Drosophila melanogaster: one gene and its partner. Changing the gene in region 1 together with any one later gene gives a genetic interaction. Each region holds a gene or a part of one and is shown in the gene's direction. Other genes may lie near its edges.

The links. Genes that interact genetically often act in the same process or in processes that back each other up.
Region 2: of stac (region 1) and Galphaq, changing one suppresses a phenotype caused by changing the other (phenotypic suppression), as found in Drosophila melanogaster (one study listed by BioGRID).

Annotation. Positions count from the first base shown.
Region 1 is NT_033777.3:25,055,186-25,063,044, forward strand, and holds the start of stac (staccato), read left to right. Parts: upstream 1-1,833; 5' UTR 1,834-1,914; coding exon 1,915-1,997; intron 1,998-2,439; coding exon 2,440-2,719; intron 2,720-3,895; exon of another isoform or gene 3,896-4,084; coding exon of another isoform or gene 4,085-4,372; intron 4,373-5,023; coding exon 5,024-5,364; intron 5,365-5,427; coding exon 5,428-5,475; intron 5,476-5,774; coding exon 5,775-5,934; intron 5,935-5,998; coding exon 5,999-6,819; intron 6,820-6,885; coding exon 6,886-7,100; intron 7,101-7,157; coding exon 7,158-7,435; intron 7,436-7,492; coding exon 7,493-7,583; intron 7,584-7,647; coding exon 7,648-7,721; intron 7,722-7,780; coding exon 7,781-7,859. Other genes in the region: CG31111 (uncharacterized protein), read right to left, coding at 1-699, 850-912. UniProt on the Drosophila melanogaster protein: Essential for tracheal development in embryos. Functions with the GTPase Rab39 and downstream of dnd, to regulate lumen fusion between previously separate tracheal branches (anastomosis).
Region 2 is NT_033778.4:12,610,892-12,618,766, forward strand, and holds the start of Galphaq (G protein alpha subunit q), read left to right. Parts: upstream 1-1,848; 5' UTR 1,849-1,955; coding exon of another isoform or gene 1,956-1,960; exon of another isoform or gene 1,961-1,988; coding exon of another isoform or gene 1,989-1,993; intron 1,994-2,675; coding exon of another isoform or gene 2,676-2,766; exon of another isoform or gene 2,767-3,454; intron 3,455-4,895; exon of another isoform or gene 4,896-4,938; intron 4,939-5,015; 5' UTR 5,016-5,405; coding exon 5,406-5,523; intron 5,524-5,648; coding exon 5,649-5,833; intron 5,834-5,895; coding exon 5,896-6,050; intron 6,051-6,180; coding exon 6,181-6,309; intron 6,310-6,564; coding exon 6,565-6,693; intron 6,694-6,903; coding exon 6,904-7,033; intron 7,034-7,095; coding exon 7,096-7,249; intron 7,250-7,312; coding exon of another isoform or gene 7,313-7,420; intron 7,421-7,551; coding exon 7,552-7,659; intron 7,660-7,875. Other genes in the region: Amph (amphiphysin), read left to right, coding at 118-198; CG45086 (uncharacterized protein), read left to right, coding at 1,956-1,960, 2,676-2,766.

The DNA of each region.
Region 1 (7,859 bases):
TAAGGACTGCACATTCTGCACCGCGAATCCCTTGAAATTCGTGCACTGATGAAAGGCAGGATCCATCATAAGCAGCGATTGTGTTTTTTGGTTTGACAAGCCAAAGAAAACCTCGCCCTGTACGTCGAACGGTATTTTAATTTTAACGCAGGGAGACCGCTGAATGGAGTTTAGAAGCTCCATGTGACACATATTGGCGCTTTCTCCGAAGAAAACTCCATCCAGATCATTGTCGGGTATTATTTGGAACTGAGGAATCCCGGCGTTATTTAAAATCTTACATGTGAACACACACTTCTTGCGCGGATCCTTGGGATGGGCGTAGATTCGTGTGGCCACATATCCCACGGGATATATCCAGCTCTCAGTGTGAAAATTGGGATTCACTGATATAATCTCGCCCAGTGAGTGGAGTAATACATTATTTAGGTTCATCGGAAACATGGGCTTCTTTTTCCGTACAATTGTAACATTTTTTGGCTTATCTTCGACGGGGTTCTTATGCGAAACTACAGGACTGTATTTCTTTGTGGTTTCAGCGGCGTCGTTTTTTCCATTCGAGACACTGGGTCGTCCACTGTTGGATTTCTCCAAGCCCTCGTGAAACATGAGGCGCTCTATCAAGTAAAGTCTTTGGGATCGGGTCACAGATAGTTCGGCCTGCAGACGACAGATCTCATCCGTGAGGGCGGCGTTCTCCTGAAATTGGTATTATAAAGTTAATAGATCATATAACTTCCCGTAAATGTTTTATGCTATAATGTAAACATATATGTGAGTAGGAATCTTAAGGTTTCTTGTAAATACTCTTAAGTTTGCATAACTTCGCCCTAGTTTCTAAGATCTTACCAGTAGATAACTCTTGACGGAGCGTTTTAAGCTCTCGTAGCGCCGCTTATACTTTAAATTCATTGCTTTTTAATTTATAATTTCAGCAAAAACAAGAGATACGATTTGTTTGTTGTTATTGCCGTGGGTTTGTTATGATTATCGGACTGCAGGGCTGCCATTCGTAAGTTATCGAAATACGGTATTCGGTAGATTCATTTATGTTGGTATATCTTACATACCAAATTAATAAACAAAACTGATCTAATCTAATCTTTGTTTATTTTAAAAGATATAAATAAAGTTTTAAAGGGTGCGAAAAAAACAAACGGAGACGTTAATTCGAATTGAAATTAAGGAAATTCCTAATGGATTTGCAAATCCTCTTAGCCTAATTCAATCTGGCATTCTGACCTTGCAAAGGACTTAATCATGTTAAAAAGTTACTTCCGGCGCTCGGAATTAAGGATATTTGAAAAAATAAGGTATGTTTTTAAAGTAGTTAAATAGTTGCGCACATAATTTAGCTTGGCATCTGAAAATGTGCCTTAAAGTGCGTAGTTTGACCATGGAAGCACCAGTCTGCAAAGGTAGTTACAAGAATACCAACACCTAGCCCTTCAAGAGTATATGTACATAAACAGGTGTGCGTGAGGCTTACCACCATTAGAACCATTGATGATTGGTAACTTCTTAATGGATTTTCATTCAACAATTTCAAGAGTTACAAACTATAAGTTTTTAAAATCATTAGCATGAGAGCTAGAAAAAACGTCCGATCACCATGGCAACAGGTGTCTGTCTGTATGTATCATCCCGTTCCTTCCCATTTCCCCACTTTCGCCCAATGTTAGATACTACAAACATCCATAGCTCATTATAATGTGTTTGCGATAGTGTAGGGAAGAGCGTGTGAATACCACTGAGAAAAATCTACGTCGGAGAGCAGCTTTGGCAATGAATCACATCGTTTGTTCGTTTCGGTTTCGGTGCAAATAAGCCGTTAGTATGTTTCTACACTCCGGTGACACTTGTTGGATTCCGATTTCGATTCAGTGCCTCTGAAGCTAAAAACGCAACATCACAATGGACGAGGAGCAGATGTGGAAGGGCTTCTTCTTCAAGTTGCAGGAGCTCAAAATGAATCCACCCACGGAGCATGAACACCAGTAAGTTGGATGAATAAAATACAGACTCACGCATACCTGTAGAAAACTTGAAAACTCACCGATAGACAAACATTTGTTCGCCAGACGAGCCGAAATGTGTGTTTCTATTTCTCTAGACAAATATGAACATTTTGGAGAACTGGAACTGTGTCATCAGATAAATTAAAGATTATCAAGTGAAATTAACGTGTGTGCGTGAGGAATGGCAAGTGATGTAAGGGAGTGGGGGAAGCCACAGATCGATTTTACCACCCACTCGCAACTAAAACATGACTCAGTTTTAGGGTATTTTTCACTGGGCTTTCAAATACATCTACATAAGCTTGCTCATAGTACGAGTATCCCTAATCGAAATGAAATCCCCATTAAGTGATGACTAGCCAGTGCAGATAATATTTAATGACTTTTTTCGAATTATTTACTAATTGCACTTTTTCCGCAGACTGCAAGACGGAGATGATGGATTTTTCGAAAAGTTTGGATCCCTACTGCGGCAGAAGTCCCAAATCGATGAGGGCGTCCTCAAAAGTTCACTGGCTCCCTTGGAGGAAAATGGCAGCGGCGGAGAAGAAGATTCGGACGAGAGTCCCGATGGCACTTTGCAACTCAGCCAGGATTCGGAGTGCACCAGCATCGATACCTTTGCCACCGAGAGTACACTGGCGTCCAGTTCGGACAAGGATATCAGCACTTCAGTTCTGGACTCGGCGCCAGTGATGAATGTAAGTTTTGTAATTGAGAAATCAGTGCTGTGAATCAGGTTGACAAAGCCATTAAAAGGTCACAACGAATCAGACAATCAAACTGCATTCCAACTGGTGCAACTAATAGAGCTCCAGCTTATACTAAACGTAACCTATAGTTTAATCATAAGATTACTAAATTATTTATTTAATTTAGTATCTTACATACTCCCAAATGCGTACGTTAAGAGATTTTTCATATTTATACATGTGATTCATACGAGCTCTTGTGAATTCGTAAAACTCAGTTTAAGGATGATTTATGGTTTAATCCGCCCTAATATATATATACATATATATTCATGATAGAGTATTGATAATCGCCGCTTTACGAACTCGTTTTGAATTGTTGGGTTAGTATGCACTGTAGCTTTTAGGATTCGAGTGAAAGTACATCAAGATAAAGCTCCGTCATTCAGTTTGGGTTTTACCAGGTCGACTCCCAAACTAGCTATCCACCATGGTGGGTATTGGTGAATATGGATGGCTTTTGAGCCTGGTCACATTCACGTCATGTGTAATTCCTAGGCCCGACTACCGAGGAAGTTGCGACATAGGTCAGTTTTCCAGTTTGCAGCGCGGCGTAACGATCGCCTACGAGTTAATTCAATGTTTTATCTTGTGCCAACATTTTGCTGTTCGCATGTTTGCCGTCTGGGCAGGTGTAGTTTAATTGAACAGAAACCGAAAATGAAGTCGTGTCCATAGAAACGAAACGCTTGCACAATAAACAAAAGAACTTGCCTATATAGTCGGACTGTATAAACAAACCGAATAATGTATACTGACAGCATAAACAAGCACTGCAGAACATGCAAACATTGAAGAACCCTAGAGCGGCCAATTGAAGGGAGGCGGGGAGAAAGCTTAATGTACTTTAGAAAATACATTTTTCATTACCACCTTGAGCTTTTCCTTTTTGTATCCGAAAATAGACCATTTTCTCTTAAGATTGCTTTATTATTGCTCACAAACACTTGGCCATCATCGTGTACATACGAGTATGCACAAATACACCAAGCAATCTGAATCGAATTGAGCGCATACACTTTTTATCTCATGGTCAACGTCAAGATATTTCGGATATCGCAAAGATTTCCCACACCGGACGCTATTGTACTTAGCTACAGACTCTTCTCCGAAGCGGTTGTGTCCAGTCGGTGTTCCTGAGTCCGTGGGTGTCCACGATCTGTCCACCAGCGCATCCGATCGTGCTCGATAATATGTGCGTCTATATCGAATTGTATATTTGCCAGAGAGTATTTGCCAAAAATTTCAATTTCGCTTGCACCTAGAGAAAAACATTGAAAAAGTGGAGTGATCGGTTAGTGGCTGGGTTCGATCATGAGCTACCTATCGCTACCACGTGTTCTGAGCAAGTTCGGCTCCCAAAACCACAGTTCGTCTAACCAAAGTTCGAAAACCAATAGCCTAACTAGATCCAGTACGCGCACCGGATGCGACGAAATCAGACTGCCGCGGAAGGCATCCTCCACCCAGTCGCTCAACAAACCATTCGAGCGACGGATGAGCATACTGAATCGGAATGGAAGCATTTCCAGTCGACACTTCCGTGGTGTCCACAAGCATTTACTTGATTCCCATGCCAAGGCGGTCTGCCACTCGATGACCGTAAGTAGAGAACGAAGTTTGGATGCTATATCTAGATATGGATATATCTGTAATCCATAATGAACTGATCTTAAGAATATCCGAGGGAATCGGTTCATCAGTGCCTCGGTAAACAAAAGCGATTGTATAAGTTCATTGATTTGGCATAATTGTTGAGTCACTCGAGTTAAGTGCACAGAGTATTTCAGTGCTTAAATACATATATTTATGTACTTGTTTTTTTTTTGCCAAAATCATAATTGAAAATTATGTAAAGTGTAGCTAGAAGATACCAAAAAAAAAATCAGCGAAAATGTGAACATTCTAAGAAGTTTATTGATTCGAATTTGGAGCTAAGTCAATATTTATGTTAGTGGATAGTTTATGGGAATGATAAAACATTTCACTGTAGCGAGCATCCAGTAGATACTTATATAGAATGTATCTAAGCAAACATGACCTCAGCTGGGTCTGTTTTTCCAATTTCCCTGCGAAGATTTGTTTATATTTCCGTATTCTGGAATTTGTCGATATTTACTTAGGCTTTGACCTTTAGAGAAGTGACTTATTTCTATTTTTGCTCAAAGAAATTAAAATACTTCACCGATTAGATGGTTTATAAATGTCGCCTGCGTTTTGGGATTAAACTAATTGTTGCCTTTGCTTTTGCAGGTCACAGATCTCTATGAAGAGATATTATTTGAAATTTTCAACAACATTGGCTGTGAAAACAACGAAGAGTGCACAAACAGTTTGGTCGAATTCGTGCAGGATGCATTCAAAATTCCGAACGCCACTCATGAGGAAATTTATGAGGCGGCGCGACTGAAAGAACCGCCCAATGTTAGACTAAATGTCGAGATTATAAAGGCCGAGAACCTCATGTCCAAGGACTCAAACGGCTTGTCCGATCCGTTTGTTACCCTGTACTTGGAATCGAATGGCTCCCATCGATACAACTCATCGGTCAAGCCTGCCACATTGAATCCCATATGGGAGGAGCACTTTTCACTGTGAGTCTTGATTATTTCGTATAAAAACTGATATATATTTGTTAATGTTTATTTTCTTGCTAGGCCAATTACTGAAAATGCTCGAGACGAAGTTCTTATCGTTGAAGTGTGGTAAGTGTGACTTTGTTTGCATATTGAACTCATATAACGCACTCATAAAACCTACGTTATCTGGCTGATAACGTTTCTTGAACTCTAAATTGCACTTATCGCGGATCAATAGGTTTATGGTCTGAAACTAACTAACTCGAAGGTATGGCATCTTAAAAACTCATCATTCTTTTTGAAATATGTTTGAGTAGTTAAAGTAAAGTACGTTGTGTTAGTTTTATAACATTAGAATTTCATGCTAGAATCCCATTTATCTATTTTAACGCATGATTCCCATTTAATATTTTACCTTTTTTCAGGGACTTTGATGCTGCGGAAACCGTCAAGGAAAAAGTCAACAAAATCCTGGATGTTAAGGGTGTGAAAGGACTTAGCAAGCTGATGAAGGAAATTGCTGTAACAGCTTCCTCGGGAAAACATGATAATGAACTGATTGGGAGAGCTGCAATTACATTGAAGGTAGGAAAAGATCTAATATTATCAAAGATCTTAACACTAAAAAAAAAACACACATATCCTTCAGTCTATTCCCGTTTCCGGCCTCACCGTATGGTATAACCTGGAAAAGGGAAGCAAGGGACGCAGTCGAGGATCACTTCTGGTTAATCTGGCCTTGAGTGCGGAGAAGAACAAAAGTGTCGCCGTTCAGGAGCACAAGAACCTACTGAAACTGCTCCTGATGTACGAGCTGGAAACCTCGCAGGTGGCCAACTACTGGTGGAGCGGCAAGTTCAGTCCCAATGCCGAACTCATTCGATCCCAGCATGCTGCCCAGAGTGGGCTAACTCCTTTCGACTGTGCGCTCAGCCAGTGGCACGCGTACAGCACCATCCATGAGACGCACAAACTCAATTTCACACTATTCAATTCAATTCTGGACGTGGTGGTGCCAGTGATTACTTACATGCAGAACGACTCCGAGGATGTGAAAACATTCTGGGATGGCGTGAAACGACTGCTTCCCTCGTGCTTCGCAGTGCTAAGGAAACTAAGATCCAAAAACACCAGTGATAAAAACATAATTAGAGCTCTGAACGAAGTTCTGGATATTCTAAAGAAGATTAAGGAGCTGGAAGTGCCGGAGAGTGTAGACATATTCCCCAAATCGGTGTATGGTTGGCTACACACAAACGACACTGATGAAACGTGCAATATTGATACTGCCATTGAGGATGCTATCAACACGGGGACAAGGGAATGGCTGGAGCACATAGTGGAGGGCAGCAGGCAATCTAAGAACACCGAAACCGATGACGAAAAGCTGCAGTACGTCATTAAACTGATACAAATGGTGCGGTCTGACCTGCAACGTGCAATGGAATACTTCGATAAAATCTTTTACCAGTAAGTTTTACAATTGTGCATCGATGAATCAATCAATCATTTATTATTTACCTTGTTCATTTCCAGCAAAATTCAGCTTAACTATTCCGCTGTACTTTATTTATTTTATGACTCCAAGCTTGCTGAAATCTGTAAATCGATTATAATAGAAGTGTGCAATAATATTAAGAGATTGGATGTGCCAGACGATCAATTCGAATATTTACCCAACCTTGAGAATGTAAATATGGGCACGACTTTGTTTGAAGTCTATTTAATACTCAAACGTTACGTTCAATTAGGTAAAGTACTGAAGTCCTCACTCTTAGCAAATCACTAATTGATTTTTCTGTTTACAGGAGAATCTCTTTGCTCCGAGCCCCTGGAACTGTCCAACTTTTACCCGTGGTTCGAGAGGGGAGTTACCCACTGGCTGGATATTTCAATAATTAAGGCATTGAGTCGCATCCAGAAAGCAATTGATTTGGATCAGCTGAAAGCGGTCGATGAAACAGTGAAATACAGCTCCTCGGCAGTGGACACACTTTCCATATTCTACCAAATCAAGATATTTTGGCAACAACTTGACTGGCCAGAGGTCGAGGGTTCCTACATCTTCGTAGCCAAAATCGTCAATGTGAGATTGAATACAAATATAGTTATGTTATCTTTACTAATTATTATAATTTTACAGGATCTTTGTCGCTGCTGCATATTTTATGCCCAACAGATGTCCCGCAGAGTTGAGAATATTTTTATTGCTGATGATAACAATAAAAATTTCAGTAAGTTCTATTGGAAACCATTTTTTATCATATATTGTTTGTATTGAATTTATTTATTTTATAGTTTTGTCGGAGGAGTGGTGCATAGCGATAAACAACATGGATTACATCCGGCAGAGCTTACCTTCATTCATAAAGGTAGAGGTTTTATTTACCTAAATCAAACAAATTTATTGAAAACAAATAATTTATTTCAGGAACTTAGCATTGATGACATTATCAAGAGATTGGGGGAGTATCGAACTAACTTAGAGGCTGAGAGATGCGCAAGCACCA
Region 2 (7,875 bases), on another chromosome or scaffold:
ATCCGGAGATACACATTCCTTTGAGCTTTGCACGCGCTAGTTTCCCCCTCCGCGCCAAATGCAGATCTCAGCACTTCCTGTCTATATTGAGTTCAGTTCTTTATTGCCAATTTACAGGAGGAAGGCTGGCTGATGGGTCAGAAGGAGGGCACCAACGAGAAGGGACTCTTCCCCGCCAACTTCACGCGTCCCATCTGAAGCGACAAACTGGGGAACAACTGGGCTAGCAACGAACCATCAGCAACTTCAGATCAACCATAAAAATCTTTACGAACGGAGGTCCAAATCCAAATACAAACTTTTGGCCAAATTTTCTTTGTGAGCGCTGCTTTTGCTTTTGTCCAATTAATAAATTCTTGTTTTGTGAAATGTATTCGGTAACTGGCAATCCATTTATAGCGATTGTTCGTTAGGGCAGTGCTTCCAACCATAAAATTGTTATTGTTAACACAAAGAAGAACGAACACACAGATGAGGAATGAGAGAGAGAATATTTTGAAAATGTTTCAAACATTATTTTTTAGTTCTAAGTTTCAAGAAAACCTAAAGCATAAACCTACGTATACATATATTATTTGTTAATCCTATTATTGTGCTCATAATTAATGCGAACAAAACGTATCTAATTTGTAATTTGTTAATGGCAAACCACAAATGTAAAACATATCACTCGAGAGCTAGAGTAATTGTTAAACAAATCAAAAGTCGGAGGAGATAGCCAGCCTGAACCTTTTGTATTTTGTGAATTTTGCAAATATGTAGTACGAGTTTTTTATAGTCAATTGAATGTATTTTTGGGGCGATGCAAAAAGGCCAGATGTAATTCCTCTGTGGTCCCCGAAGTTTTGGAAATTGTTTCAAGTAACAACATTAACGTTTAGCGATTACGTGTATCTTTAATTTGTACTTTGGTTTTTAATTTTTCGTTTGAGAGACTCGAACTAGCTACAGCTTTATAACGCGAACACAATCCAATAGTCACTAACCGATCGATTCGATGTTTTTATTTTATTTAACTCGATTGTAAATCACACGAAACCCGAAATAATTGTTTAAATTGTGCACACACTGTAAAGTTATTATTTTAATTTTATTTAATTAATTTAAACACTTATTTATCGCATGAACATATTGAACAAATGATAATAATTTACAGAAAGCCAATAAAACATAGATTAAATAATACAAGTCTTTTGATTTGGCGGGCAATGTCTTCTGATTTCGAAGATAGAAAGTGCTTGTAAATTTGACGATTGACCGGCGTTTTACGATATTCGCATTTTTTATGTTCTAAATGGTAATTATACACACATATATTTAGTTATTTAAAATTTACGATCATAGTCATTGGTTCGGGTCACAGCTTAACGAATATGGAAGTGCATGGTAAGTGTATTCCCTGTTGTTAGAGAGTGAAAAGGACACAACATTTTCAGTCTTTCCTAAAGCTATCAGGCATTGCCATCCTGAATTATGAGAATATGGCGCACTGCCATCCTTATTTTTAAGGATGTCTGGCGTTGCCATCCTTATTTGAAGGATGTAAGGCGTTGCCAACCTTATTGCTAAGAATGTGTATTGACACACATGAATAGAAATCCGTATGGCAACACCGACATGTGTTGTGGTGGGGGTGGCAACTAAAAAATACCAAAAGTAATATATTTTCAAATTAAGCTGAACTGCCAGGAAATCCGTTTTTATTTGTTATAAACCACTTCTATTAGTTATTATGCGGCAAATAAAACTCCTTCCTTATGTAATACAATGAAGACTTTGATTTAAGAGCATCTATTCCATCATCGATATCTTGCCACCACTAGTTCAAATGCCGTCCGATTGGTTTGACCATCGATATCGACGAACGATAGGGCCGATAGGTTCGGACAAATAACGCCTCCTGCTATCGAAAGTCGGGTCGTGCGTCAACGTTAGCGAAAAATGCAAAATTAAATATGTTGTGAGTAGCGAGCGATGCCAAATCGAATATGTTGTGAGTTTCGAGCAAGATCCCCGTCAAACGGACTCCCCGCCAGCCAGCGGTCGCCATCCGCAGCCGCCTGGCAGCCACCCGAAAAAGTCCCCCCCTCGACAAAAAAAAAATTTAGCAGCACCGAAAACGTTCCCCGAAATGCCAGTGTAAAGTGTATTTTTTCGCCAAACAGTGCTGGCCATTAAGCAAGGCCCCCCCATAATTGTTAAACAAACGGCGAATCGAATCGCGAAATCTTCGAATCGCATTGCTATCAAAATTTTTTCGTTTCGTTAACGCCCTCGCTTATATTTGTGTGTATTCGTTCGTAAAGCAGTGCGCAGCAAGTCGCACTGCTTGCCCGAGAAAAACACTGCGAATAGGAAAAAAGTTGAGAAATTTAAAAAAGAAATAGTTTGTTTAACTCAATGTGGTTTTCTTTTGCCACTAAACGGTGCATGCCAGCGAGAAGTTAGTTGGGGTCGCGTAACTACATAGTGGATTGTGCATATTTTTGGGCTTAAAACGGGTGGGCTAACCAAAAAATGAAAAAAAAAATGGTAGCTGAGGGTCGTGTGTGTTTACCTTAGCCAGTATGATGATGATTTTCCGGAATGCATATTCCCACCTTACCACCCATAATACCACCCCCCCCCCCCATCGTTCTTCTCCTTATCTCTCTGTCTCTCTTCTTTACTTGCAGTTCCACTGCATACAGAAAAATAAACAAATACAAGAAGCATAAAATATGCAGAAAATTAAATACAAAAGGAGCCACTAAGTGTTTCGTGTGAAATCAATTTGAAGACCGCTCGTCGTCGTCGTTGTCGTCGTACATACTTTTCCGTTTCAATTACACTACAATGAATATTTGTTGAAACTTCGTTGCATTTACAGACTGGTGTTTAAAAACAACAACAACAAGAAGAAACGTTAAAAACCAAGAACAACAACAACAACAGCACTCATACACACCGAAAACTAGAAGCAAAAAGGGAAAATTATATATAGATATATATCTACATATATAAATAGTATCGTATCACACATTTACATTAAAAGGAAGCCGAACAGACGTTATCGTAACTTTTATATTAAAAAGCACCAGTAAAAAATATATAACCAACTACACACGTTCCTTAAAAACAAATGTTTTCCAAACCGCAAACCAACTAAAAACGAAATGCTTTTGAAATTAGTTTAAGCTAACTAAAAAACGTAAGACCAACCAACGCACCGCAAAGCAAATCGCGTGATTAAACTAAAAATATTTAAAACAGACCGAACATCGGCAGGGAACCAAAAACAAAAATTAAAAGAACACGATCAATCCGGAAGAACTTCAATCGGCGTACTAAAACCCGAAATTCAATATTTTTTGTATAACATAGTGGTAGCTAAAACAAATCGAGACGATAACCGGAACATCTTTTTGGAGAATCTCGTCTGAATACCTTTAGTCCCGTGTCTCCGTAATGTTAAGTAAGTAATACTGAATGCTCATTGAATACAAGAATCGTAATTTCGTGGTTAATTTTTGACTCCGACCACTTGTTGGTTGCCACTAAAAACTGGCCGAAATATATTATAATCCAAAAATCGAATTATTCTCCAGGCGAGTTTAATGGATTGTCATCCATCTTATTCAAATCCATTCGAATATATTTATTTTGTGTAAAAGCCATGCTTTCATCATAATGAAAGGGTACTTTTGTATCTAAAATATGAGCTCATAAATTCTCCAGCAAAAATAGGCTGAGGATGCGATAAGGAACTGCATGAGTAACGTGAAGCTATTTCCGGCTTAGAAATGGTTTTTCGGAAATGGGTTGCATTAGAACAGTGATTTTCAGAAGAGCAGTAGTCGTCTAAAGATTAAGAAGTCAAATCAAACGTTATCTCAGAGTGGTTTATCATCAGCATATACAATATGTAAGGCAGATAAGACCAGTTCGCGGTAGGTAAATCTCCCTCTGATTTGGTGGCATGATATATCTGGCAAACTATTGTTAAAAAACGCTTCATTGCGCCAATTGCGTGCCCCTGCCCCTGAATTTTGCTGCCACTGCTAATTCGATTTTGTGGCTTTGCTCAGCGAGCAATGTGTTCCGAGTGCAGCCCACTAATCCTCCCGAATACTATGCGTCTAGCCATCATTATCCAGATCTCCATATTCGCCCACCTGAGCCCGCCAAATTCTCCTGGTCAGACTTTTGTCAAAATTATTGCTAGGTATTCCATCGATATTTGGTAGTGGTCATGCTGAAAGCCTTACCTCGACCCATGTCAATGTGTTCGCCAAACGAAATTGGATTAGCCATCACTCGATATATAAACTAGGGGTTGGAAAAGAGAGGAAATAGCACCAGTGGTTATAGGCTATATTCTATAGGCATGCCCTATGCTGAACCCATGAATGAACCGCGGATTCGGGTGGACTCATATCTTTTAACGATAAAAGTACATTAAGAGTTTTAAAGTTTATGCAATGATATTCCAGTTTTGTGTATAGAGCTGTGTTTTTGCATCATAAGTTTCGGTATGTGACTTTTTTATTTCCGAATTAGAATGATATGCCAATTCTTCTTATCCATAGACTGCTTGGTCCACCCAATAGGAGAACACTCTCGCTAACTTGTGGCCAGCGAAGCCATATATTTTCCAAAATCAGCTTTCTTGCATTGAACTTGGCTGAGGGGCATTGTGGGGAACGCTTCCTCAATCTATTGCCACCTGGTAGAGGGCGATCCCAGGTCTGCGCAGAGAGAGCAGGCCCAGAACTTAGAACCAAAGCCAATGCCATGGTCAGAGGAAGTCCCGGGGTAGTCATGGGTAGCCATGGGCAATCTATATCCGACGTCGTCATCGACGTCGCCAGCTAGTGGGGCAGGCTAGCAAATATGAAATGTTAATTGTCAGCACGGGACACAACGCGGCGAACTCTCGTTGGGCCAACAACTGTGGTGGTCCGTAGCAGCAATAGTTGGATAGATCCTACAGTTCGGTTATGCAAGCACTAAATCAAAGCTTTGTCTCCTTGCAGATGTTCTTGGATCGTTCGATGTGGTCTTTGTTCATTAGTAACCATCACTCTCAGCCTCCGAGTCACCGAAATCTGGTCAAGAACTTAGCGTAGACCCGTAATTAGCAATAGCAATAGCCAAAGAGAGCCTGGATCGTAAGCGCTGGAGGAGGTCTGCAGAGCGAGCAAAGCCGAAGTACAAATGCACCAATCGAAACTACAACAGAATCTATAACTTGGAACGGGTGAATTCAACGCCCGCCATACAACCAATTAGCTAGGTGTCCGAGGGTCCAGAGAAGGGAGTCCAGGAGACCATCCCACCATCCAAACAGCATACATTTTATATACGGAACGGTCTGTCGAGCGTAGTGGCAGCAGCACGCGAAAGCGTCTATAAATCTAGTTAGCATGGAGTGCTGTTTATCGGAGGAGGCCAAGGAACAAAAGCGCATCAATCAGGAAATCGAGAAGCAGTTGCGCCGGGACAAGAGAGATGCGCGCCGCGAGCTTAAACTGCTACTACTGGGTAAGTGGAGCATGGCCCATTTCGATTGCACTTAGCCTGGCTTAATGCAATTGAAGCCGCCTCGCTAATTGCATTGTTTGCCCGCCGCTTATGGCTATATATATTTTCCAATCCTATATCCCCAGGCACTGGCGAGTCCGGGAAGTCCACATTCATCAAACAGATGCGTATTATCCACGGCAGCGGTTACTCGGACGAGGACAAGCGTGGGTACATCAAGCTGGTTTTTCAGAACATATTCATGGCCATGCAGTCAATGATCAAGGCCATGGATATGCTGAAGATTTCCTACGGCCAGGGAGAGCATAGTGTAAGTGAAACATTGATCTAATTGAAGTCACTGAATCTTAAACAACATCTTACGATCCACAGGAACTGGCCGATCTGGTGATGAGCATCGATTATGAGACCGTTACCACGTTCGAGGATCCATACTTGAATGCCATCAAAACGCTTTGGGACGATGCTGGCATCCAGGAGTGCTATGATCGTCGTAGGGAATATCAGCTGACTGATTCAGCCAAATAGTAAGTTAACCGTTGGCATGCAAAGGGAACGGTTTAAATCCGTCCGCAAAATGACCGAAAAACGAACTGAAGAGACTGAAACTACCGAAACGACTATGCAAACTAAATCAATTATCTTGTCTATGTATAGTTATCTGAAGGATCTCGATCGTGTGGCTCAACCTGCATATTTACCCACTGAGCAAGACATTTTAAGAGTTCGTGTGCCCACAACAGGGATAATTGAGTATCCCTTTGATTTAGAAGAAATCAGATTTAGGTACATACCATCTTTCTACCCTTACTTCGTTGCATGTGCATGACCTCTTGTTTGGTTATGGTTAAAATTTATTTTGTACTTTGTAACTACACACTTAAGAATTTCTTTAGCGCATGTCTCTTCAAGCAAACAATTCAGGGACTTAGTTAGGGCCTTCAGCGAAATTGATGGACTGAGACGGGTTGCAAAACTATTTTTGCCACTGCTTTTGGTTCCGTTCATTGTTTTAAAAGTGTATTAATTTATCTAATTTAGCTACTTGAGCGATCTAGCTCGAATTGAACAGGCTGATTACTTGCCAACCGAGCAGGATATTCTGCGTGCTCGAGTGCCGACAACTGGCATTCTTGAGTATCCATTCGATTTGGATGGCATTGTGTTTAGGTATCTATTAAAAATATCAATTGGTAATTACCGGCAAGGCTAGTAATGTAAATGGTCATTGTAAAGCTAGTGAAGACGATTTCTTACAATTTAGTTACTAATAGATTCGTTGCTTGCGCTCTAGAATTAAATGCTTGTATGTTTGGCCTTATATGTAGTTAATTTGTTGGTTAACTTTTCTTACAATAATATATTTTTCTTAATAAACAGAATGGTAGACGTCGGTGGTCAGCGATCCGAGAGAAGAAAGTGGATTCATTGCTTTGAGAATGTGACATCAATTATATTTTTGGTAGCGCTATCGGAGTACGATCAAATCTTGTTTGAATCTGATAATGAGGTATGATTTCAAGTTATGAATATATTTTTTTTAAACAAATAATCACCTGTACGCTTTCACAGAATCGAATGGAGGAATCTAAAGCTTTATTTCGTACTATAATTACATACCCTTGGTTTCAAAATTCGTCAGTTATTCTTTTCCTGAATAAGAAGGACTTGTTGGAAGAGAAAATAATGTATTCGCATTTGGTAGACTATTTTCCTGAATACGATGGTAAGTGTTCCGCATGATAAAGGTGGCCATAATTATGTACGATTTTATGCGGCAATGAACCAGGTCCAAAACAGGATCACGCTGCGGCCAAACAGTTCGTTCTGAAAAAGTACTTGGCCTGCAATCCAGATCCCGAACGTCAATGCTATTCGCATTTCACAACGGCCACAGGTGGATTTTCACCTTATGTACTTAAGATCTATGTAATTGCCTTAAATCGCCAATATCATCCGTAGATTATTTGCTAGTTTTCGTAGAACCACGCTAGACGTAACTTCATATTCGCCTTCTTATCGAAACAGGTCCTCAGCGAGATGCAATAACGGCCCGAGAGTTTATACTGCGAATGTTTGTAGATTTAAATCCAGATTCCGAAAAAATTATCTATTCTCATTTCACGTGTGCTACAGGTAAGTTTGCTGCCAGTTCTGTGTTTGGTCAGAAATTGTGTGTGGATGTGATTTTAGTTTTCAGCCTAAAAAGGACTGGTCAAAAGGTAAACTTTTGTGTGAAAAACATTTACATTTGCATATTTGCTTTTGCCGCTGATCTAGAGTAGAGAGTAGTTGTGTATCGCTAGTCAAATTTGCAAACCTAAACGAATTGATTTCTAATAAAACAACGAT